3 linked regions of the Drosophila melanogaster genome follow. The gene in region 3 interacts genetically with the main gene of each other region. Each region holds a gene or a part of one and is shown on either strand. Other genes may lie near its edges. The genes, in order: Drak, br and Sb.

Region 1 (7,815 bases), on a different chromosome or scaffold from region 3:
GCAAATATACATACATACAATTTTCAGACATGTGAATAATAAATGGACAAATATACACGTATCCCAAGCTCAATCCAAATAAATAAATATATAAAAGCCTCCCAAAGGTGTGACTTTCCTCGTGTGCGAGCTTCAATTGAATTGTAATTATTGTTATTTATTATTGATTCGCATTCTCTGGCAAAAACCATATATATATATATATATATTATATATGTTCATATGTACACACATTATAAGTTTGCACAAAAAATTGAATAAAATTTCCATTATGCAAGCGTTCGACTGCCCACAAAATGTGCGTCCTAATTTCCAATTGAAAGGCCAAAAACTCCGGGCTACGAATAAAAACTGGACAATGTGCCAATGCTGAAGTCAAGTGGGCTTTGTGAAGTCTTGTGGCAGCCACAACAGTCCAACAACCAAATGGGCTAACAGGCAAACACGGCCAAAGACAACTGAAAAAGCAGCTAGCAAATCTGAAACTCCGGTGTCCACAACTTCATTTGTCTCGCTGTCAATTTGTATTTCTTTTTCTTCAATTTTTTTTTTTTTACCATATAAATTGGGCCATAAGCCAGCAGCAGCACCAAGTTGATTTTTTATTTTTCCATATATCATCATCCCATCCATCCAAGTCGAATTATGCACAGCTCAAAAAGTTATAAGAAACATTGTGTATGTGCGTCGCCCAATTGGCCAATATTTTTTGGCATTTCGACTTGCAGAAATCAGGAATCCCCCCGCGATACACCAAACCCCCCTCGCCAACCCACCATTATTTCCCATTCGCATTGATTGACGGCTTGCAATTGTCAAATGTTTCCATTTTGGCAAGTTTCTTATATTCCACTGGTCGGTCATTAGGGTTAAACATTGTGACATAGGGGGGTTAATTTAAATAAATTGCATGTGTTGCGCGATTAGCAACTTCATTTCAATTTGTATGTAAGACACTTTCTGTGCCTAATTATATTATATTATATTAAATTGAATAGTAAATCTGTCACAACAAAAGTTAGAGCTTAACTTGTACCGTTTTCTCTACTGTTGCAACACTTTTAGCCAAATCCCAATTCTGCGGAAGATTTTAATGATATTTATGGCACTGCAAACGAGCGGTACAAAAAAAAAAGTTCCCCTCCATTAAATCACCTTCCGCCCCTCGTTTTCCTTATCTTTTTGCGACTGATAAAAAATTAAAGCTTTTTTGTAGCCAAAAGAAGGCATTTCTTCGGCGAAACGTTTAATAATGATGCGTTGATAAAGCAGCAAACGACCCAAAAAAAAAAAAACACAACAAGAAATATTAAGTATAAGGTATAATGTATATAAGAATGAATTCAACAAAGTGAAGACAAAACGTGAAACGAAAGCAAACGCAGCAGCAACAAGTTGGTATTGAGCGAATACGGAACCAGAGAATCATGAGAAACCAAAACGAAATGGCCAACAAAAGAAAAGGTGAAAAAGGAGCACTATTGCCAAGGAAAAATTAAACCCGTCTGCAGAAGAACATTTAGTTCTGCTAAATAAGGCAATTTTGGCAAACGGAATTCCAAGGGAGAATAAAATGAATATAAATTACGGACCAAAGAACTTACAACTTGAATGGAGAAAACACCATTATATGACATTATAAGTGTAAAGATACAAACCAAATGGTATTAAATAAATAAAACATTATTATAAAGGCACATTAGCAAAATCAAATCTGTTATAAAATAGAGAAATTTGAAGACTTCAAAGTGATCAGCAAAACAACAAATAGCAAAGCATAACATTTTACGAGAAAGTTGAATTTATTATAACAAATTTGAATCCATTAAATTTTTGGCAAACAACTAAATTAGAAAATTACAGTTAATTGTTGCGATCGCATTTCACATTAATGCGATATGTACGCCTCTAAAAATGTTTGTATTTTCGAAGCCACTTTTGTCAAATATTTCCTCCATCTCATATACGGTGGTTTACACTGCGCTTTTGTTTTTACAACAAACACCTCGGACAAACGGCTTCCTGATAAGAATTACGATTTGAGAACCACCATCGATAGATGTGACAGAAAAATTTTATTTCATACGCCTGACTGCTTACGAAACTCAAAAACATCGATTGGGATTTACGTTTTATTATTAATTTTCGTTTCGTTTTTTTGTAATTTTTTTGGCTGATAACAGAATGCTTATCAAGAATGGGGGGAATATGATGATAAATGGGGTACCGGGCAGCATGAAACCACGGAACGCTCGAAAGCAAACGACCTTCGTGGGGCGAAGAGGGGGTGTGGGTGTTGTGGTTGGCGGATTCTGAAGAACTTTAAAGAAACGATGAAATGCAAAACTAATAAGGCAAAAAAACACGGCTCAATGCGAAAAAAATATACAAATGTATATGTATATGATGAAAAAGGGTACAAAATGCAAATCTAGCTGAAAATAATGATAGTCAAAGGGCATTCGAGACAAGGAGAGCAATGCTTGGCAGAAAGAGATAGTGCTGTCCCAACCATATGGTGTGAGAGAGAGAGGGCCTAGAGAGGGACGTAGAAAGAGACGACGGTGCATGAGGGTCAGTTCGCCAGCAAACGGTAACAGCTGCTCTTTGGAGAAGTGAGAAAAAAGGGAGAAAATGCAGGGAGCAGAATGAGGAAGATGAATGGAGAGGGAGGTAGATGCGGAAGAGGGAAGCAGGCAAAGAAACTCAAGAAGAGGAAGAAGCAGAACGAGGTGCACAGTGGTTGTTGCACAAATCTAAAATTCCACATAATTAACTGAAGGGCAGAACCCTTGAAACGAAATCAGGTAAGTAAATAAAATGAATCTCTTGATACACACACAGTGCATAAGGACAATCGCGAAACTGACCATATTGTCAGCAAATTCGTATCTAAAAATGCGCATTTTTAAAGCGTACAAATTCAGAGCTATTTTCAAAACCAATTCGTACTGAATAGATACGTATTTGTTTACGAATCTTTCGATGTTCATAACAAAACCACTGTGCCGTTATCCACACAAAACTCTCTTTTTGTCTCCCGTTCACATGTGTGTGTTGAGTAGAAGCTCACACACACAGGCAAGTCGCAAGAAAGAAGAAAAAAGTAAATAAAACAAGTTTTGAGACGCAGAAGTTTTTCAGAAAAAATAAAACAGACTCGCCACTGACTTTCTTTAACATTTTTAGCTTTGTTTCGGTGGTTTTTGGATTCCGCTTTTATTTTTTATTGAATTTAGCAGCTGCATTCGCAAAAACAAGGAAAACAAATCTATTAAACGATGATAAATTCACTGATGTTAGGTGTGATTTTGTAGCAGTTACCTTCAATTGTGATCGCAAAGTATGTTTAGGTTGTAAAAACTTAGAAGATCATTTTCAATATGGTTATTTTTGGCATAACTATGCATAGAGACATGTATATTTATCTTGGATTACATTTCAAAATATTATGATACGAAAAAGAAACGATCGAGCTTAGTAAAACAAATAAGGCGATCAAGAAAAGATACACATATGTATAGATTTATGGTATTCAAGTACCTAAAACAAGTAAGTAAAACTCCTAGCTTAGAACTTTATAGTTAGTTACATATGTATATCTGCGGTATGGACTGTATCTATGGTTCTGACCAGAATTCCCCAAAAGAGCTAAATTATCTATATGGTTTCCTTTCTAACTGATTTTTTTTTGCAGTGTGGAGATGCAAAAATCTTGTTTTTGTGCTTCTTATTTTCGGTTGAATTTTTGGCAAGGGAAAAGGAGAATAATAGCGCGAAACTCAAAACAGAAAACTAAAAACTCACCTGGCAAACGGCGTCTGTTCCACTTCGTAGATCTCGTTGATGTCGGGACATGAGACGAGGAGTCCCTTCAGCCGATCGGCGTCCACATCCAAAAGTCCGTCGCCAATGGGAAAAATTCCCTTTTCGGTGAACATTTTGTGTGTGTGTGGGGGGGGATTGTGGTGTTTGTGTGTGTGTAGTGTGTTTGAAGATCGAATCTTCTTTCGATTTTTGGCTGTATTTAATCCTTCGTTTGATTGGCTTTTATTTTTTTTAATGGTAACTTGTTATTTCTTTGAGGGTCGAATCTCAACTGCACAGAACCAAAAAAAATTGTAGTTTAGTGATAAAAACACACGCTTCGATATAATGCAGCGGAATACGTTGCGCGCGGGAGAGCGACAGGGAGGGAGAAGGAGACCAGATTCCAGTACAACCCAAAAACAGCAAAAACAAAAAATCACACTAATGAATTAAAAGAAGTAAAGAAGCAAAAACTATGCAACTGCAACACACAGACACACGCGCGCAAAGAGAGGCCCGAAAAAATTCCCGCGTGTGTATGTATGTGTGATGCTGTTGCTGCTGGTTATGTTTTTGTTTTTGTTATTTTCGGTATTTCGCCAGTTAAGTACCGTTCTCTCCGAAGAACTCCGTCTCAGCTTCTCTTCTTCTTCTTCCTCCGCTTGCTCGTTTCAAAAAGGGTTTTATGCGAAAAAACGGCTCGCAGATTTTGGCCAGGCTTTATTCTTTTTTTTTGTGTGTTTCGCTTTGCGGAGGCACGGAGGTACAAGAAACTCGCAGCGGAGCAGCGCGCACGAACCGTTCGTTGGCGGATTGAAATTTCAATTACTCGCGTTCGCTTAAAGTGAACGCACACCATGAAAATAACTCTGCTGCTGGGGCCTGGTATTTCTTGCCAGTGTCTCTGGTCACTCTGTTGCCGGACGTTTAACGCTAGGCACTGTGAAAAATACCAGAAAATACCGAAAGTCTGTTAACAGCACTAGGTTTATAACAGTGCAGTTTTGTTTATAATTTAAGCTGAGAAAAGGCAGAAAAAGTAAAAATTAAATTTCGTTTCAGTAATAATAACTAATGTGAAACTAAGTAGACAGTTATATGAACACCATCTTACAAAAGTAGTTATATGACGTTTCCAATGTTAAGTTTGGTGGAAAGCACATGGTCACACTGCGGCCGATTCAAAGCGTGTTTTCAATTTACCAATTATTGTTATTTGGTGGAAACGTAATAAAGATATTATTTTTGGGATGCAATGTGCGTTTTGGGTGGCGCCTGTTATCGGGGCGTGTGGGCATAACACAGCCCGCAAATAGTTGGCACCTCGCGTCTTCATTGGATTCTCAATTTTAAATGTATATTTATATTTATGCTTGCTTGCAGTTCCCTGGCTTTTTCTCGCCCTGCAAATTTTCCCGCCTTGTTTTCCCACCGTTTGTGTGTAGGTGTGTGTGCTCCACTTGCAAGCCAGTGCACATTTCTCGTGCACTCTGAATCATTACTAAGATCTTAAATAAAGTTTAAGTATATATAGTTAAGTATAGTTAAATATAGAAAACTTTTTTTCTACATTTCAATCCCTCTCTCTGGAATAGACCTATTTTACACCACGCCATTTCTACTTTGTTTAAAAATCATAACTTTGCTAATTTCTTTCAGTGTAATTGGATTGGATGGGATATGCAGTGGATATGCGTTATGTTTGCATTTCTCGTGTGCGTTGCATATATTTTTGTCACCACGACGGCATCTCAGGAATGCGGAGCACCAGAAATAAACCAAGTGCAAAAACCTTTAGCATCCGTCTATTAATAATGTTGTCGTCTCCGGATCTGCTTAGGTTTTTTTTACAAAATGATTTTATTTTTCTTTTGGTCGGGCGGTGGATTTTCTTGCCACGAACTCGCCAAAAACTCCTCTTGGCAGCCATTCAAGTTTAGCAGATCCGGCTTTTGACCTAGGGAAAATGCTTGGCCACCGCGAAAATAGAAAATCGGATCGCGAGAAACCCCAAAAAATTGGGTGGAAATTTAACAAGCAGGAACGAAGTAGTTTCGTTTTAACGCATAATTTGGTGTTACAAATTACAATTGTTATTTATAAGGCAAACAACATTATCTTGTATACAATGTCCTGTTCATGTGTGAGCAGTATAATAGATCTGATATTTAACACATTGCATCGACTTTTATTCAAGTGGAAACAAAATATTTTATTTTGTATAATTCCCTTTATTGGATACAACCACAATTTAAAGTAACCCTTACACTTCGAAAGTGTGGATTTGACAGCTGAAAGTTGACATTTGGAGCTCATTCCCTGAATACATTCTCTTTTTAAAAAAGTCGTTCACCAGGTAACATCGTCACAGCGGATAAAATTATATAATTTTGTATATTATATTATTTCTTATTTCATCACAAGGAAACCAAATTACTTTTATCATTCGCATTGCCATATCGGAAAGATAACCATGAATTTCAGCAAGAAACTGCTTGGCGACAAGAACCTTGTCCGCCTGGATTCGGACGCGACAAGGACATTTTGCCCGCAAGTCTCTGAAGGCAGACTCACATTGGAGAATGTCATTTTCGATCGAGGGGGCAGCGTGACCACCAAGAAGCCTAGGAAGCGCCCGACGCCGAAGCCAGTGATTCGTAATTTCAATAATTTGAGTGTCCCGGAGGAAGTGGATGTGGACAATTTGCAAGGCCAGCGTAAGGGCGTAGCTGTCAATAGCAACAATGATGAAATGATGATTTCAAGCTCGGACAGCAGTGATTCCAGTGATGATTATAGTTCATTCGGAGATGATATATTCACTCCAGGCCCGGAGACCAGTGATACCAGCGATGGTGATAGTTCTTGCGAAGATGAATTAAAGATTCCAGACTTTAAAAGCAGTGCTACCAGCAAAGATGAGAAATTGATTCCAAGCTCAAAATGGAATTTTACTTTGACGAAGGACATTATTCCACCCGGAGAGGGAAAGAAATCTCATATCGGGGCCTCCTTGCCGGAGCCAGTGAATCGTAATTTCAATAATAAGAGTGTCCTGGACTTGCAAGGCCAGCGTAATCAAGGCAGCAGATTCGGTGCCCAGGGCGTAGCTGTCAATAGCAACAAAGATGAAATGATGATTTCAAGCTCGGACAGCAGTGATTCCAGTGATGATTATAGTTCATTCGGAGATGATATATTCACTCCAGGCCCGGAGACCAGTGATACCAGCGATGGTGATAGTTCTTGCGAAGATGAATTAAAGATTCCAGACTTTAAAAGCAGTGCTACCAGCAAAGATAAGAAAATGATTCCAAGCTCGAAAAGGAATTTTACTTTGACGAAGGACATTATTCCACCCGGAGAGGGAAAGAAATCTCATATCGGGGCCTCCTTGCCGGAGCCAGTGAATCGTAATTCCAATAATAAGAGTGTCCTGGATTTGCTAGGCCAACGTAATCAAGGCGTCAATAGCAACAAAGATGAATTAACAATTCTAAGCTCGGACACCAGTGATACCAGCAAAGAGGAGAAAATGATTCCAAGCTCTAAGAGGAATTTCTTTTTGACGAAGGACATTATTCCACCCGGAGAGGGAAAGAAATCTCATATCGGGGCCTCCTTGCCGGAGCCAGTGAATCGTAATTCCAATAGTAAGAGTGTCCTGGATTTGCTAGGCCAACGTAATCAAGGCGTCAATAGCAACAAAGATGAATTAACAATTCTAAGCTCGGACACCAGTGATACCAGCAAAGAGGAGAAAATGATTCCAAGCTCTAAGAGGAATTTCTTTTTGACGAAGGACAATATTCCACCCGGAGAGGGAAAGAAATCTCATATCGGGGCCTCCTTGCCGGAGCCAGTGGATCGTACTTCCAATAATAAGAGTGTCCTGGATTTGCAAGGCCAGCGTAATCAAGGTAGCAAAGATGAGAAAATGATTCCAAGCTCGAAAAGGAATTTCACTTTGACGAAGGACATTATTCCACCCGGAGAGGGAAAGAA
Region 2 (8,024 bases), on a different chromosome or scaffold from region 3:
CGGCGGCGCTTCGGCTGCTCCTTGCCAGGTCCTGCCGCTACTGGCGCTGCCGGTCCTGCTGCCGCTCTGCCGCAGCCGGCGTCGCTGCCAGCGGCCCTGGCCGTTGCGATTGCGACTTGGACTTGAATCGAGTTGGGTTTTAAAAATAACGTTAGTTGCTGTTTGTTGCTCGTTACGTGCGCGTGTTGCGACGCGAACCAAAACCCAAATCAGCCACCAGCGGAAACGGAAATTGAAACTGAAACTGAAACCCAACTGACGTCCCAGCTCAGCTCGACTCTAATCGGATGCCAAGACACAAACTCAGCACAGCTCAAAGATAACTGAGTGCGTGTGTATTGTTCTGTCGTGTAGTTTGTTTTTTTTTGCAAGTGATTGTTAATGCGGCAAGGACAGCATCTCGGGATTTTAGGCATTTCCACCGTTTCCACCGCGCCGATTGTTGATTGTTTTCTTTTTGTTTGGTGTACCGCAGAGATGACAAGTTGTGCAATAAATCAAATCTAGAATCTAATCGAGGTGAAGGCCAGTCAAGAAAATAGGAACACCCAAAAATCAAGTGATAAACCAGTCGATCCGGGGACGAATCAAAATACTATCAAATGCAATCTGAACCAACCGATAGAGTAGCGAGCAACCGCAACAAAAACCCTGACAAACTGTCCCAGTAAAAGTGAGAGTGTGTGGCGTGCGGAGTTCCAGGATCTCAGCCAGAGTCGGATCACCCACCGGAATCCAGAGCAGCTCTAGGGGATCCCATGCACCTGACTCAGCCGAAAATTCAGACATGTAAGTGTGCTCATTTTAGTGGATTCGGTATTTATTGTGGCAGTACATGTACTGCTGCTTAATCTGAAAGTACGGATGCAGGTTGGATTTTTCCATCAAAGGGTCTTTGTTTATGTATTGATCAATTCCACCACCAATGTGCTTCCCTTCCAAATCATATTCGAAACCAGTGTTTCGCGGTATATCCCATTTTCTGGTACATATATAATATATATACGTAGATAACCAAATATTTGTACGCTGAATTCAATGCTAAGCATTTAAAAACACCTCGAGTTTTCATATATGTATATATATTCCAATCGATGGCAAACTTGTACGATACATCATATAGTTGGCATTGCCAATGGTATCCTATGGTATTTGTAATTTTCACGAAGAGGAAGCTAGGAAAATATTGTATGCCGATATTGTTTACGACCTCGTGCACTTGACTATCTTCGTGTGCCAGATACGGGATCTTTCCCAAACCCATTATTTAGATTTGCTGCACTTCCTCCGCGCTCTGATCGCACATTCCCCAGTCATTTCGGATTCGTATTCGTATTCGCATTCGCATTCGTATTTTGTATTTTGTATTCCGAAATGGCACTGGATCGACTGGATCGCGGGCGTTGAACTTGATCAAAGCGCTTCTCGTGTAAACACTGGTGTTTCACGGCTGGCGAGGGCAGTCTCTAATTCTCACTCTCTCTCTCGCTCGCGCCCCATCTATATCGCTGGCGGTTCCGTCGTTGACCTCCTCGCGTATTACGTATACGCCCGATATGCAGGCGAAGAGAGATCGACGTCGGCGGATGGAGATGGCCAGTGCGTGAGCGGGAGCGAGTGACTGCGGGTGACTAACCCACTGCAGTTTCAATTAGAACAAACGACATCGACAAGTTCAATGTGATCATTTCGCCTTCGCAGTCGCTGTTTTCTGCCTTCTGCCTTCGACGTCGGCGTCTACGCCGTCAGGTTGTTGTCGAGGTTGTTGGCTGCCTGCGACTCCGTTTGCGCCGCCTAGAGGTTAATGCCGGTTGTAATTGCAAAGCACCCAACCCGAAACCGGAGACCCAACAAAGGAGCGGAGCTTAGAGCGACTACAGTGGTCCCTGCCCGCGCGACTCGCCTCTTTCTGGCTAATCTGTGACTCGGTGACATTTGCGATGATCTTGAAACAACCATAAACCGAACGAGACGCAGCAATAAAGGCATTATGGGTACGTAGGTAATGTTGTGTATATGGTACGTGTAGATACATTTATACGTTTATGAATCGGCAAGAGGTCACTGCAGACAGGGAAACCTTAACAAAACAACACTCAAGACAATTCTTGAAAAATGCTAACGTGAGTGCGAGACCAGCAGAATTAAAAAACCAAAATCGCCACGCATGAATCTAAAAAATAAAAAAACCAAAAACAGCTCATAAAAATATCGGCGACAACAACAAGGGGATGCAGCAGTAAAATAAAAACGCTGCAAAAACAATTAAATTCGGACAAAAAAAAAAACTGGCAAACAAGATGCAAGTGGCAACAAGTTTCTCAGACTCAGTCGCTCAGTTTCTCCTCAGGGCCAGCAAATCTTCGCTCTGCAGTCTTCGGTCTTAAGTCTTTGTGCGTGCCAGGAGGTGGGGCGGGGGAGCAGGGAAATGGGAATCTGGGTTATGGCAAACAGGGGAGCCATGTAATAAAATGCGGTAATGGTAATGGTAATGGTAACCAAAATATTAAACAACTCTTCACCAACATCAGCAGAAAATGCAATTCCAAAGGGTGACGCAAGGGAGGGAAGGCAGGGGAAGGCCCTAAAAACAGGCCGACTTTGGATTTGGGTTTGCGTTTGGGATGGGGCTCGAAATGTGGGCTACACTTTCAATTGGAACCCTCTGTGGGGGTATGGTGGGAAGGGGGTACAGGCGGGTCGTGAAATCGGGCAATTCCGAGCCGAAGACGCACGACGATATTCTGCCTAAAAAAAAAAACGCTCCGATCGCCGCCGACTTTGTGTGCGTATGTACCGCTTTCTGTATCTTTGGAGTTACATAGGGGGAAAGTTGCATATTCCCCTACCCGTTCCCATTCCCCTTACCCCTCTCGCTCCATATCACTCTATTTACAATTTGCCGCTGCCGATCTGCGGATCTGCCCCAAACATTCGCGTTTGTAATTGCATCGGTGTGTGGGCGGCGCTCGTTGATTCGTTCGCTCGCCGACGACTTTGCATTTCATTTCCCCCAATTTTGTCGGCCTGACAATGAATAAACAAAACTTCTAAATGGGCAATACCAGAAAACACAACAGAATATACGGACAGCAGAAAAAAAAATAATAAAAAAACCACAACCACACACATGGAACCCCCGAAAAAAACGCAATTTTCGCTTGCTCGGCTTCGCCGCCGTCGCATGCGCAGAAAATTTGCTCGTTTTTTTGGCGACTGCGCTGCAGGCAGCGCTGTAAACTGCAGCGATCGGATCGAGTTGATCGCAGAACGCAGATCGCAGATCGCAGATCGCACTGCTGCCGCTGCCGCCGCCGTCGACGTCGCTGCACTCCAAAAAAGCGAAGGAAACACACAATCGCACACGAGAAGTATATAACAAAAAAGCGAGCAAATAAGGCAAAAAGTAAAAAGTAAAAAGCAAGAAGCGAAAAAAGCGAATGAAACATACAGGCGGCATAAGTATATACACACACACACATATATATCACAAACACTGGTGCACAGCGAATTCTCTGATTCAATTGGGCAGACGCACACACTCGCGCACACACCAATACACACGCACACTGGCAGAGGGCAGCGGCACAAGCCCAACACATTTAACTGCATTTTTTCGGAACTCAGTTGAGCTTTTTAATTCGATCGGTTCAGTTACTAAAGTTAGTTCAGCCTAAACGCACAATTTCAATTTCCATTTCTAAGTTTGAGCCCGAATTGAATAGCATTAGTGCCCACCCCACGCCTACCCTCGCACCACCGCACCAACGCACCACAGCAGTATCCAACACACACACGAGGACTGGACAATTCCCTCTGTTCTATTTTTTTGTGTTTTTTGTCAAGTGCACCCAAGCAAAGACCAAAGGACGCAAACCATCTAGTGCGCGATTCGCGCGCGTTTTGAATCAAAAGAATCTAAGAATCCAAGAATAGCTAAATCACTGAATCGCAGAATCAGGAGCGGAAAAAGCGAAAGCCAACCCCAAAAACCCAAAGCCCCAAAAGTTCAAGTGAATAATCAGTGTGCATCCCCAAGTAGTCGACCCAATGAAGCGCCGCCATGAGCAAGGATGCACCTACTGAGCGCAACTACAACCGCACCATCCAGGTAAGGGTTTCCTACATCCCATCCGACCCCATCCGCTTTGCTTTGTAGGGCAAACCGAACGTGCTGGAAGCTCCTTGATCTAGGGGCAGAGGGAGCCTAGCATCCAGATCTATATCGACATACACACACACACACATCCATATTCTCACACACGGTTGCAGGTACAGATACACACTGAAATTTGATTCGGATTCGTGGCCCGATCCATAAGAAGGACATTTGAGTCATCCGATGCAGCTGCCTGCTCTCTCCCTCTCTGCCTTTGGGCTCGGCTCTCCTCATTAGCACTTTGATGAAGAGTCACAAAAGCGGACGGACCGGGCCTAGACCCCTCCCTTCGAACTGTCCAAAAATTTCGGTGCATCTGCATACAAAGGCACACAAAGACGCACAGAGTGTACGGATACAGATACAGATACAGATGCAGCTACATATACATATACAGATACAGACACATATACTGTTACAGATACAGATGCACTGCAGGAAGCAGGGCAGCACAGTAGCCTCAGTCGCCTCTTTCAGCCCCGTTTCAGCTTCTCCACCCCTGGACTCTGCGCTGCATTGTTCCACTTCTACACTTCCACACTTCCCCACTTCCCCACTTCCCCACTTGTCCGCTACCCGCCACTCCTCGCTTTTTCGGCTGCAGTCTGTCAGTCAGACTGAGGCTTCGTGAAGCTCACGGCCAAGGCGAAGGCAGCTGAGGATCTGCACTCGGCCGAACACGAAGGCCGGTTGGGCAGGGTTCGGGAACGATCGAAAGCCAGCCCGAAACGGCGGAACTGCAGTTTGCTGTTCAGCGTCGCACTGAGCAAACGTCGTGTGGCAGCTCATCGCCAATTGCGAATTGCAAACTGCAAACTGAGTACCGTAAATCGCTCGCGCAAAGTGCAAGTCGCGCTGAATTCGCAAGTTCACATAATATCGGCATCCGCATATCCGCATATCTGTATATCTGCACATCCGCAAGCAGCTTGCTTCCACGCCAATTTTGTTTTCGTTGCGTTTATATTTTTTTTTCTGTTGATGTTTCTCGTTATATACATAGTATCCTTTTAGCAACCCACTCAGGCTTTTGCTGATTCTATTTCGATCGCAATCGGTCTCAGGAATCAATCTCAGGATTAGCTCTACGGCAGGTAAGTCACGTGAGGAGCGGTGGTGTTTCTGAAACTTTTGCTTTCAATGGGTTTGCTTCTGGAACTGGGCCAACAGCGAGACTCAAATGGCCAGACAGGCACGCAGTCAAGCGGTTTGGTGACAGGGTCCCCACTACTCCTGCTGCTTCTCCTGCTCCACCCACCGATCTGTAGGAAAGGTGGTAACGCCAGCTTCTTCTTTTTGTTCTCCCAGTTGTTAGGGCGACCCAGACCCAGACCGAGACCCAGACGAGTCACTCAAACGACAACAACACTCCGCCGTCCCCATTTCTATCCCCATCCACAACCATCATCAGCCATTCCCATTCCCCATCTGCAAGCCACAAAGACCGGCACCCATACACTCGCACACTGGCGCACTCACACGGACATGGGCACAGGCACAGTCACAGCAAGGTGACGTAATGGCAACTACTCCACTAACACATTTTTCTGCATTCCTGCAACGCGAGGAAGAGGAGGAAAAGAAGCGGTGGGGGCGGGGTGGGAAAGTCGCGCGACGAGAGAAAAACTGAATGAAAATTGCAGGCAGCCAACGAAGCGTGCCTAGCAAAAAGGAAGAGCGAAAAAAGCATAAAACGACAGAAACTAGAGACGCAGCCAGACTACGCCACAGCCAGAGCCACAGTCAGAGCCAGGAGGGGCTGGGGGTGTGGGGAACACACGTGGGACGTGCTGTGAAGCTCGGGATGCGAATGTGGTGGCTGGTGGCTGTCGGATAGCTGGATGCTAGGAAAACAGAGGCGGCGGAGACAGAGGAGACGGAGGAGATGGAGATGGAGGAGACTCGCCAAAGTGGTGGCCCCGACTAGACGCTGTCTGCGTACTGTGTCTGTGCCTGTGCCTGTGTCAGTGTCTGTGTATTAGGATGTCTGCGTGTGCGTGCTAGCCATCTGTGTGCGACTGGCCGACATTCAAGGTTGTCGGCGCATAACTTGTTGTTGCCGCACTGCAATTGTTGCTGCCACAGATTGTAAATGCTGCAAATGCAGTGCGGCAAGGGCACAAGTGCCCACTCCAGTGCCAGCTTGAGTTCCAGGAAGCTTATGAGTGGAGCAACAGTAAAAGGACATCCGAACCGGGGTAACGGCCTGGGCGACCCACTTGGGGCTAGTGGTAATCAGAGGCTCAGAGACAGAAGCGGGCAGTTAGAGAAACTGCACAACAGACTAGCAACCAGTAGCACTTCCGTTAGCCTTGAAGCCCAATCAACTGGAATCAACTGGAAACTGCGGCCAATTGAGAGCCGCATCGCCACAAGTGGACAAAGCACGCAGACGAGCAGCAGCAGCTCCCCAGAGTTTCAGTTGCCAGCTCTCCACTCACACTCACATGACTCATGTTCTAGCAACGGAGCACTTGTTTGGGTGCAACAGCAGCCACAAATGCATCCGTCGCAGTAACAAATAGGGATCACGATGATGATCATGATGAGCACGATCAGCGTAATGATCGTGTCATTCAAGGCCGCCGCAAATTGCGAGCGGTGAGTCGAGGAGTTGCAAAATAAACACAGAAAACATCAGACACAAACGCGAATGCGAAGAGCCAACAGACGAGGACAGGGACATACAAAGTGCATAGTTATCGCTATAGACATATAGACACATGGACATACATATAGGCGAGTTCCCAAGTTCTCGGAAACGGTTACTCCAAGGCCAAAAGCCGGATAGACAAACAAATGGGACAGGCACAAAGGCTAGGAGATAACTCTTCTCCAGTTTTCCCCTTTTGCCTCTGCCTCTGTCTCTGTCACCCTCGCGTTCTTCGTTCTCCGTTCTCGATTCTCCGCGCTCAATTCTCAATTCTCCTTTCTTCTGCGACCTGCCTCTGCTTCATTCGCGATGTTTCTATTTCTGCCCCGGCACAGGAGACAGCCAATTGAAGATGGAAGACAAGTACGCCAAAGATTTTGAAAATACTTAATCTCAAATTTGGAGTAATTTTTAAAGCATCTTGAAGAAATCATTTCTTACTATTTTATGAGTAGGATTTTTAGTCCTAAAAGTACATACGTCATTTAATTACTTTTGAACAATACATTTCCTTATCCCAGAGCAATTCTCGTTCGGAGTGCACAATTCTTCACTTTGTTTTCTTCTGCACTTAGCACTGCAACTCCCCTTTCTTCTGCTCTGCGCTTTCCCTGCTGCTTCTTCCTGCTCGGCTTGCTCAGTCAGTCAGTTGGTCATGAGTGTCATGTTCATAGTTGTGGGGTACTAGGACGTCACGGGGAATGGGATTGGAAATGGGTAGGGGTATGGTCATGTGTATGGGAATGGGTTGGGCTTCTTCTTCGATGCACTGCCAACGGTCGGATCGCTGGTTAATTTTTTCGTTTATTTCCTGCACTTTCGTTGACAGTTTTGTGTTTTTCACTTGTGCTTCTTGTTCTTCTACTGTGTACTTTTTCAAGCGAAGAGGTTCTCAGCTTTCATTTGAAGTTGGACGGGGGACTTGGGAGACACAGGCGAGACATCGAGGGTCGTCTTATATCTTATAAACCCTAAACCGTTGTAGATGGGACTTTTCTTTTTTCGGGCTATGCAAGCAACGGGTAACCCGAGACCGGGTGCTTAACGGTAAATGTGATAAACAGTGACAATGGCCGTGACTGTGATGGTAAGCGACCTAACCCCATGGCTATCCCTCTCCTCTGGACATTGATCACCCCTTTGCAGACTGCAGACTGCAGACTGTTCGCATAGTGAAAAAAAAGAAGAGTCGGGTAAAACAGCGCTGCGAAT
Region 3 (8,269 bases):
ATCCCATTGCGGCACTAATTGGAGCATACGAGTGCCAGTCAGCGAGCCAGTGCAGCGCAGCAGTGATCCCATTTTCAAATTTTCAGCATCCAACTAGCCGTTTGGGTTGGCCCAAAATGTGACTGAACTCATACATAAACATCAGCCCGCCGCGTCCAGTGGCGTCCAGTGCCAAGTTGGGAGTTGGGTTTTTTGGGCCCGGCTTTCGGGTTGCGTGCCAAGTGCGATGATCTTGCGGTGAAATTTTGTGCTCAGCCGGCTAAATTGGTCAGTGAGCTCTGAAATGCTGAAATGCAAGGCATAAAATCACTTGGCTCGCAATGTGGGCTTGATTAAAAGGCAATGTCCAAACATCCACATCCCCAATCACGTTCGCAAAATGTTTTCGCTTTTGGGTAGCGGGAGAAAGGTTGAAATATCACTCCAGCTCCATGTCCCAGTATCACCTGCAACACTCGCTGCGATGGGACAGCCTCCAGTCCCTTGGCCAACTTTCCCTTCCTGTTCTCGGCTGTTCTCGCAGCCACAGCCGGGCCATCAACATTTGGCCAATTTAAAGTGGCATCAATTATTGCGAACCCATTCATTAACCGACCAGTTATCCCTCATTCCGTGATCGCTTATCGCAGCCCATCCATATCCCTAACCCAATCCCGATCCAAACAGATCCCCACCTCCCAATCCGACACATTTCCAGTCTTGTGAGAATCGGGGTCACGCATGAAGCTGCGGACGTGGAAAGTCTGGAGGATGGGGCCCGGTTGACGGCAGCCGGACCGCGGGAGATTAAAGACCCCGATGGGGGTACTCGGTGCCGAGTTATGGCCAAGACAAAGTTACTGCAATGATGCTTAATGGCAAGTACTTAAGGCGGAATTTGCACTGTATTAAGGATAATATTGATGGGTGGGGTTGATTCAAAGCTGAAATCAAACGAAATGGCTTACATTAAATGGTGGGCTATTAAAAGCCAAGACTGTGTTAGGTTCCGTCCTGGTATTATTAGCTAGCCCATAGATAAGGCCTGCTTATTATTTTAAAGGCGTAATGACAGGAAAAAGGTTAATTCAATGAACTTAACAGCGTATGGTAGTCCGCATATGGTGAGGTATGTATATATTAAGAAAACCATAGAGATTAAATAAACGATTTGCAAATTAGAGATAAGAAACTGAAATTCAAATAAATTAACTACAAATACATTGCGAAATCTTTAATCCACACCCACTGCTATAAATTACTCAATAGGTTAATCCGACCACGGCCAACACAACGTCCCATCAAAATATTTCCCGGAAAGATCTCCATCAGCCTATCAACGGGTTCATAAATTTTCCACCCGCTCCCGTGGACCACTAACTCCAGAGTTAGCGACAAATTTATTCAGATTGTTTCTGTAGCCATTTACTGTCGTCCAAGAGAGGCAGCAAGTGGAGCCTGAGGAGGAGCATCACTTGGCCACCCATGTACGCAGTTCAACGCCAGATTCGCCCGGGCTGAAAGAGAAAATTTATTGTGTTAGCAGCGGCACGAGTTTGCATCTGCTATTGCCGTTGCTGCTGCTGCTGCAGCCTTTGTTGCAACTAGCTACTGATGTTGTTGTTGTTTCTGCTTTTTGGCACTTGGCGTTGTCCCCTTTTCGCCTCTGAGTGCTGCAGAATTTGTGACACGACCTTTAACGAGATTTTTCCTCTCCACTTGGCGCATCATCACGCGACTTTCCAGCTGCAGTCGCTTGCCGATTTGTTGCAACACATGTTGCAGAAGCCGCCAACAGCAAAGCAACAGCAAACATTTGTTGGGGAATTAGCAAGCGACAGACAGCGAAGCGACTCCAGTCGGGAGTTTGGCGTTTTTAGCTTGGAGTTTGGGGGTATGGAGTATGGGTTTTTGTGCGACTGTCGACTTCGGCTTCGGTTCGATGAGGAGGCCGGGGAGCATCATCAACGTCAGATGCACCTCCTGCTCCGTCTGAGTCGCATCCTCCTCCATCTCGGTATCCCTGCTGGCTGCATCTGCTGCTTCTGCTTCTGCTTCTGCCTCTGCCATTGCATGCACATTGAATTCCAATTGGGTTTGGCAGAGTGGCGCAAACTTAATTGTCAAGGTTCGTTAGTTCTTTTTCCTTTGCAGCATTTGCAGCTCTTAGACGTCTTCTGCTAATGTTCGTTTCTAATGGTCGGTTTGAGTTACGGCTATGCCACATCCAAGACTCAGACCCAGACTCTAACCGAGATGGAGACCCCGTCGAAGTGGCGGCTAAGGAATTCTCAATATTTCCATTACTTTGTGGCCATCGTCTGGGATTTGCTGCGTTTTTAGCGGAATTTGAGCTCTCTGTCGCCTCTCTTTCGGCCAACTATTTAATTCACATTGGTGGAAACTCGATTGTGCTGCTGCCCCGTTGCTCTTGCCCATGCCCCTGCCCCTGCCACTGCTCCACCTGCTCCATCTGCAACACAGCCATGCAACCACACAAAATGAGCAGCACCGCAGAACGTTGCTTTTCTTCCACACTTTGTTGTGCGCTACATGGAGGTATTTTGGGCTCCTCGGTTTTCTAAGAGCTTCCATAAATAATGTCAACGGAGGATCAACACAAAGTATTGGAGTTATGACGTGGATGGAATTCATTCAGGTTTTCCTTTGTGAATTATTGCGAAGGAGGCCTTAATCTGCTGTTTGAATCATTTGCGGGGCCAATTGAGCTTCCTGTATAAGTTACTACTTTATAAAGTAGAAAAAAAGGACATAATAAATTGCTGAAAATTTTAAATACTTTTGCATTATTATCTCTAAAATAATTAAAGAAGCATTCTAAGATTTCTATGAGATCTCTAAATTCTTCCTCCAAATGCAGACAATAGCAACTGTTACCCGAGATCTTCCGTATGCGATCTTAAGTTTTCCATCACTTCTTGAATAGGGTGGTCTGGTCCCCCCACTCAAGCGCCACTTTCTTTGGGACCTTTTAGATTGATCTTGAATTCAGACGGGTTTCTCCAGTTTCTTTTGTCTTACGCAAGCGATATTCATTTTGTGGCTCCGGGAAAGCTATTGATTCATTGGGAAGACCCAAGATCTATTGACTGCCCGCCTTGTAGAGCATTTCTCCGGACGGCCACAGCCCAAGCCATAAATTCTGCACACAGTTCGGTTTGGCTTAGTTTTTTTTTTTTTATTGTTTTTTGTGTTTGTATCATTCTGTTTCTGTTTCTGTCTTATTTATTTGGTGAGTAAAACGCGACTCGGTTTGGGAATGCAGTTCGCTGCCGACGCGGACGCCGCCGTCGACTTCGACGTCAGCGCCTTCTCCACTTGACTTTAAGTTGAAATGCGTCCGATCAATGGCGATCGAGTTAGTTTTGTTAAGATCTCGTCCAGGCGAAGAGTTAAGTGCAGCCGGCCGGTACTCGAACTCGTACTCGTATATCTCGGCAGCATCTCCACCCAGTACGAAGATATATCTGAGTCAGTTCAGTTCTACGTGTGCGTGTGTGCGAAGGATCCCAAGCAGGATGCGAATGTCGCGATCGCTAACGGTTCTCCAGCGGCTCTTTTAGCCACGTTCGGGTCTTTCTGTCTTCGCTCAAAGGCCTGTAAGTCCGCAAGTCTGGATGTCTGGATGTCTGGATGTCTGGAAGTGTGCTAATGTGATAAGCCGCTTTAACCGCAAACTGCCTTTGGCTGCCACTCTCAGCCTCAGCTTGGAGTTCACTCTGGGCCAACTTTGGCGGCCCCACCTGGCGATCAGATTTTTGGTATGTATTTGGATGCCAGCTCTGCGGTTCTTCAGTTTGCAAAGCTGCAATCAATCATAGTTTTCGGTTAGGTGTTTCATACATATATGCAAATCTATTCTTTTGAGGCTACAAAAGTTCTATTATAACATTTTGGCATACAAAAAAGAGGAACCAATTTCGTCATGATAGGTGCTTAGTTTCACTTATAAAAGAGTTCATACTTAAGGTTTATGTTTGCTGAAATAAAAGAGTGATTATCCCTGAGAATGCTGTATGTGAATTGTAGGCATATAATTCATTCCTCGAAAAATACGTAATTACAGGGCAGTTGCTTCCGTTCGGAATGTCTTTCGCCTGCTGCTTTTATGGGAAGTTTGGCCATGCACTTCGGGTATCTGCAGTCACCACCATCGTCACTCACATTTCTGGCGACCCCGTGACAGTGTTGATGTACCATTCTATCCTATCCTATCCGATCCCATCCCATACTTTCGCGGTACGCATATTTAAAGCCCGATATCAATCTTTCGCCGGAATGAGCAATGACACTTAATGGCATTTCGTTCCTCCGGCTTCCCGTCCCGGCCAAAGTTCCAGCTCCAACTTTTATGGCCAACTTCCCCGTGCACGGTGCATGGCGCAGGTTTCAGGCCTCAGCCAAGACAGCCACGACATTGCCTTGTTAAGTGTTAACGTTAAGTGCCTTGTTACTTAATTCGCCTCTCTTTTATCTCCTCGTACATTTTTACCCGCTCTAATTCCATGTGTGAGAGCGCGGGGGGTGGGCAGTGGCATTGCCGCTGTGGCAGCAAAAAAACAAAAGCATCAAAAGCAACAAAAAATGCTCTTACTCTGCGATGATCTTAAAATGTACCCTTTCTACGGGTATAATTACCAATCGGCTGGCAGTGCAATTTTAAAATGCAAAAACCATCTCCAACACGTTGGGCCATCTTCAAACATTTTGAAGTGTTTTCACAAAATCAGAAAACCAAAAATTTTCTTTTCATCAATGATATTATGTGAGTAAATAAAGGTATATATCAAATATATATACAAGTGTCAAAAATATCAACAAGGGTTCACATGTTGGTTGAAGTATCTTCCGCTTCGGCTACCCAATTTGAGTAGATTCGCAAAGTCGCACTGAGTGCCAGAGAAGATCTGCACCATTATCACACGCGACATTAAGTGCAGCCATAATGTAAGCGAGCATTTTCTTTAATTTACAGTTAATTGAGTCTTACGGGGTAATTATGCAAGAAGCCGGATTCGTTTTCCATCCCCACCGCTCTCTTAATTGTGGCCATCCCCATATCACTGTCCCTGTCCTCGGGCAGTTAGTTGGCAAGCGTAAATCAATCAAAGTGTTTTAGTTTGGGCCTTAATTAAGGCTTGCGGGGTCATTAAGCCTCGTTGCGTGCGAGTCCATTGGCAGTGGAGGACACCCTACACCGTCCTTCATCCTTACCCCTTTGCTCTCTGTGAGGCAAAAGGGGCGGTCGCAGGTGTCCGGCCACAAACCCACTTGTTGCGCCAGCACCTCTCGTTGAGGGGAATCTGCACCACCGCCAGCAGCAGCGGCGCAAACAAATTGCACTGATGCGATAAGCCCAGCTCCACTGACAATAAACGAGTGCCCAATCAATCTTGGACGGGCGGCCGCGGAAGCCACACGCAAACGTGCTGCTGCCCAGCGACAGTGGGGCCTCGAGAAGGAGGATCTTAAAAGGGATTTGATAGAACAGGTGAAGTTAGATAGGGAATGTAAATGTTTGTCCCAGGGGAATCTCACTGAAGAATCAGAACTATTTTTATTACTCATACGCAGCGTTGGCTAATCCTACTTCCTATTTTGTGTATTTTGTTGAGTAATTGGGAATCCAACTAGTTTAATTAATTTTTTTTTTAATTAGCTAGTAGTTCAAAGTAATTCTTATTCTTTTATATGATCATCAAATATTTCTTACAACCGATCAATAATAATTTGAGCAATCAGTGATCCTTCCCGATCGTTCTCACTGTGCCGCAGGTGAAGTGCGTCGAGATCTGTGGATGGCAGAGGCTCCCGGCGACTTGGGCGTTGCAGCGGTAACCGCTGGCTTCCTTTCCTCAGCCGCAATCGAAGCTGCGGCAAGTGTCTGTGGAACCGTTAGCAGTCATTAGCAATGGAATCAATTGGCGGCCCATATCCAAGTGGCCAGTGGTTAGCCGTAATAAAGGTGGCTAGGGTGGTGGATGCAGCTAGATAAAGCCACTGGCACACAGGAAGTTCAAACCGATAGTGTTAGCTGTCCATTGATGGATGATTTTATATACGATTTGATTTGCAAACCACTGCCTTCTTCCACTTTGCGGTAGGAAACCAAGATGAAAATGTCGGAATGTTTTCAATGCGATGCGGTATAAGTTGCCTTGTCAGCAGTTTTTACTACTTTTACATTCGACATTAGTAACACCTTTTTCTTATTACAAATACATTTACCATTAGGCACCTTACATAGGAGGCTTCTTTGAAACCCTTGCATCTAATCAGATCTTATACCTATCTGCGTTATATGGCGTTGTATCCTTCAGGCCCTCATTATCTCCGATCGGCAGCTTCTATCAACCTTTCTGCTGTTCCATTTTGCCATAGTTCCCCTCCTCCTAAGAGGGCTGCGCCCCATCTCCGATTACCCAAGCTAATACCCACACAGAGCGAGATCCACTTGGCACTTAGCTATCATTCCATTCCGCACTCTCACTCCAGGGGCAATCAGGTAGCTCGTTTTGGTAGCTCAGGCTCCTCTACGAACGCTGATTATCTTCAGGAGCGGCTGGAGGAGCACTCAAAATCTTTGCCTAGAACTGGGGAAATGATTTGGCAAACGAATTGAGCTGAAAGGAAATTGCGTGCAATAAAATATAGATATGTTTGGGTACCGACTATCAGCCGTTGATCATCAGAAGGAATGGAGAGCACCAGGTACACGTAAAAGTATTGGCATACGCTCGGCTCATCTTGGCCAAATTGGTAGCCACGACTATGACATACCCTAGTAGAGGTAACTTCGGGACAAATATTTTAAATGCTTCTGTAACAACAAATGATTCCCAAAACAGCGCTTTCTCTTGTGTATATATATACATGGAGTCAATAATTGTGCAAACAATTTATTTTTATATGCATGCTAGTACAAGGTATTAGATTTTTCGATACCGCCCAACTACCGTCTTTCTTGTTTTCTTTTCTGTGCTGGCAAATGACTCAATAGTAGCTGCTGGTGGAACTAGTTCTGTTGCACGCACTCGTCACGAATCTAATGTAATTCTCAATTACGAAACGAGTTATGCCACAAATTAACCGGGGAGAGAGATGGCGATAGAATTTGCGCGACTGGGAGTGCTTGGCTAACTGGACTTTGTGGCCAAAAGTCCATGCTAACAAGCTGGCCGCCAGTAATTCGCAACCGAAACCGAGCCAGAAAAGGGCGTCAACATTGGGGCGCCACCCCAAATTAGGAGCACCTGTTTGTGGCAGCAAGGGGGATTGGGGGCGGGGGGTAGGCAACTGAGAATGGGGCACAGACAAAGGTGTTTCGCTGTTATTAATTAACAACAATTCGATTTGTGGCCACACTTCGGGGCACAACCCAACTGGCCGGCCATATGCAACTGGTCCAAGACGCGACTTGGACTTGGTTGGCCTGGCCTGGTCGCTCGTGTGGTGGTCAACCAGGCACCAAACTGCAAACAGCAAACACGTTTCCGCGGAACGAGTTCGAGTGGCGATCCGCGATCCGCGATCCATGGAGCAACATGCCTCCAGACCCGTTCCACCCTTTATGTTCTTCACCGCAACGACGATGAGGAAGCATCCGTTAAACTGCGCTGTGGGCCATTGTCCAACTTAGCCCGCTTAGCATTGGGTCAACCGCGAGTGGTTTTCGCTGGGAAATGGGACCACGCATGGCCCAGACAAAATACAACGGACCATGTAACATGGACCACAGACTGCTGCGAACCACTAAAGTCCACGGCGAGTCCACTCGACAAGTGGCGACACCGATACGGACGCGATCCTAAATCTGAGTCTGTGGCTTATTTGAATAGAGGTGTTGCTGCCTCCGCTGATGGCCGTTGTTAAGAGGCTCTCATGACAGGTGTCTCTCCAGAAACCGTTTTACTTATTTTTTTTTTTTTTTGTGTCCCAACGGTTGGGTTTTCTGGGATTGAGGTCTTGCCATCATCCGGCATAGACTCCTTCCTTCGCATCTTCTCGTCGCAGACTTATTTTATTATTTTTCCTGTTGCCTTTGGCCAAATTGCCTGGCTAATAAAAATAGATGCCAGCCGCAGCGGCAAATGAAGTTGTTGCCATTGCCAAGTTAGTTGGGATGCGACTGTGTTCACGTTTTACTGAGAAGCAAGTTGCATTTCAAGGGACTTCTTGGAAAAGTTATTCATGCCTTTGAAGATTAGGAAGTTTAAAGAATTTAGTTTTTTCCTTATATAATTAAAGGGAATTTCACTATGAAATATTA

What was found.
Region 1: of Sb (region 3) and Drak, changing one enhances a phenotype caused by changing the other (phenotypic enhancement), as found in Drosophila melanogaster (one study listed by BioGRID).
Region 2: of Sb (region 3) and br, changing one enhances a phenotype caused by changing the other (phenotypic enhancement), as found in Drosophila melanogaster (one study listed by BioGRID).

What each region holds. Positions count from the first base shown.
Region 1 is NC_004354.4:11,489,992-11,497,806, reverse strand, and holds the start of Drak (Death-associated protein kinase related), read right to left. Parts: upstream 4,673-7,815; 5' UTR 3,942-4,672; coding exon 3,808-3,941; intron 1-3,807. Other genes in the region: CG33235 (uncharacterized protein), read left to right, coding at 6,284-7,815.
Region 2 is NC_004354.4:1,608,693-1,616,716, forward strand, and holds the start of br (broad), read left to right. Parts: upstream 1-3,648; 5' UTR 3,649-4,111; intron 4,112-4,964; exon of another isoform or gene 4,965-5,253; intron 5,254-8,024.
Region 3 is NT_033777.3:16,112,799-16,121,067, forward strand, and holds the start of Sb (stubble), read left to right. Parts: upstream 1-3,362; 5' UTR 3,363-3,761; intron 3,762-8,269. UniProt on the Drosophila melanogaster protein: Hormone dependent protease required for epithelial morphogenesis, including the formation of bristles, legs, and wings.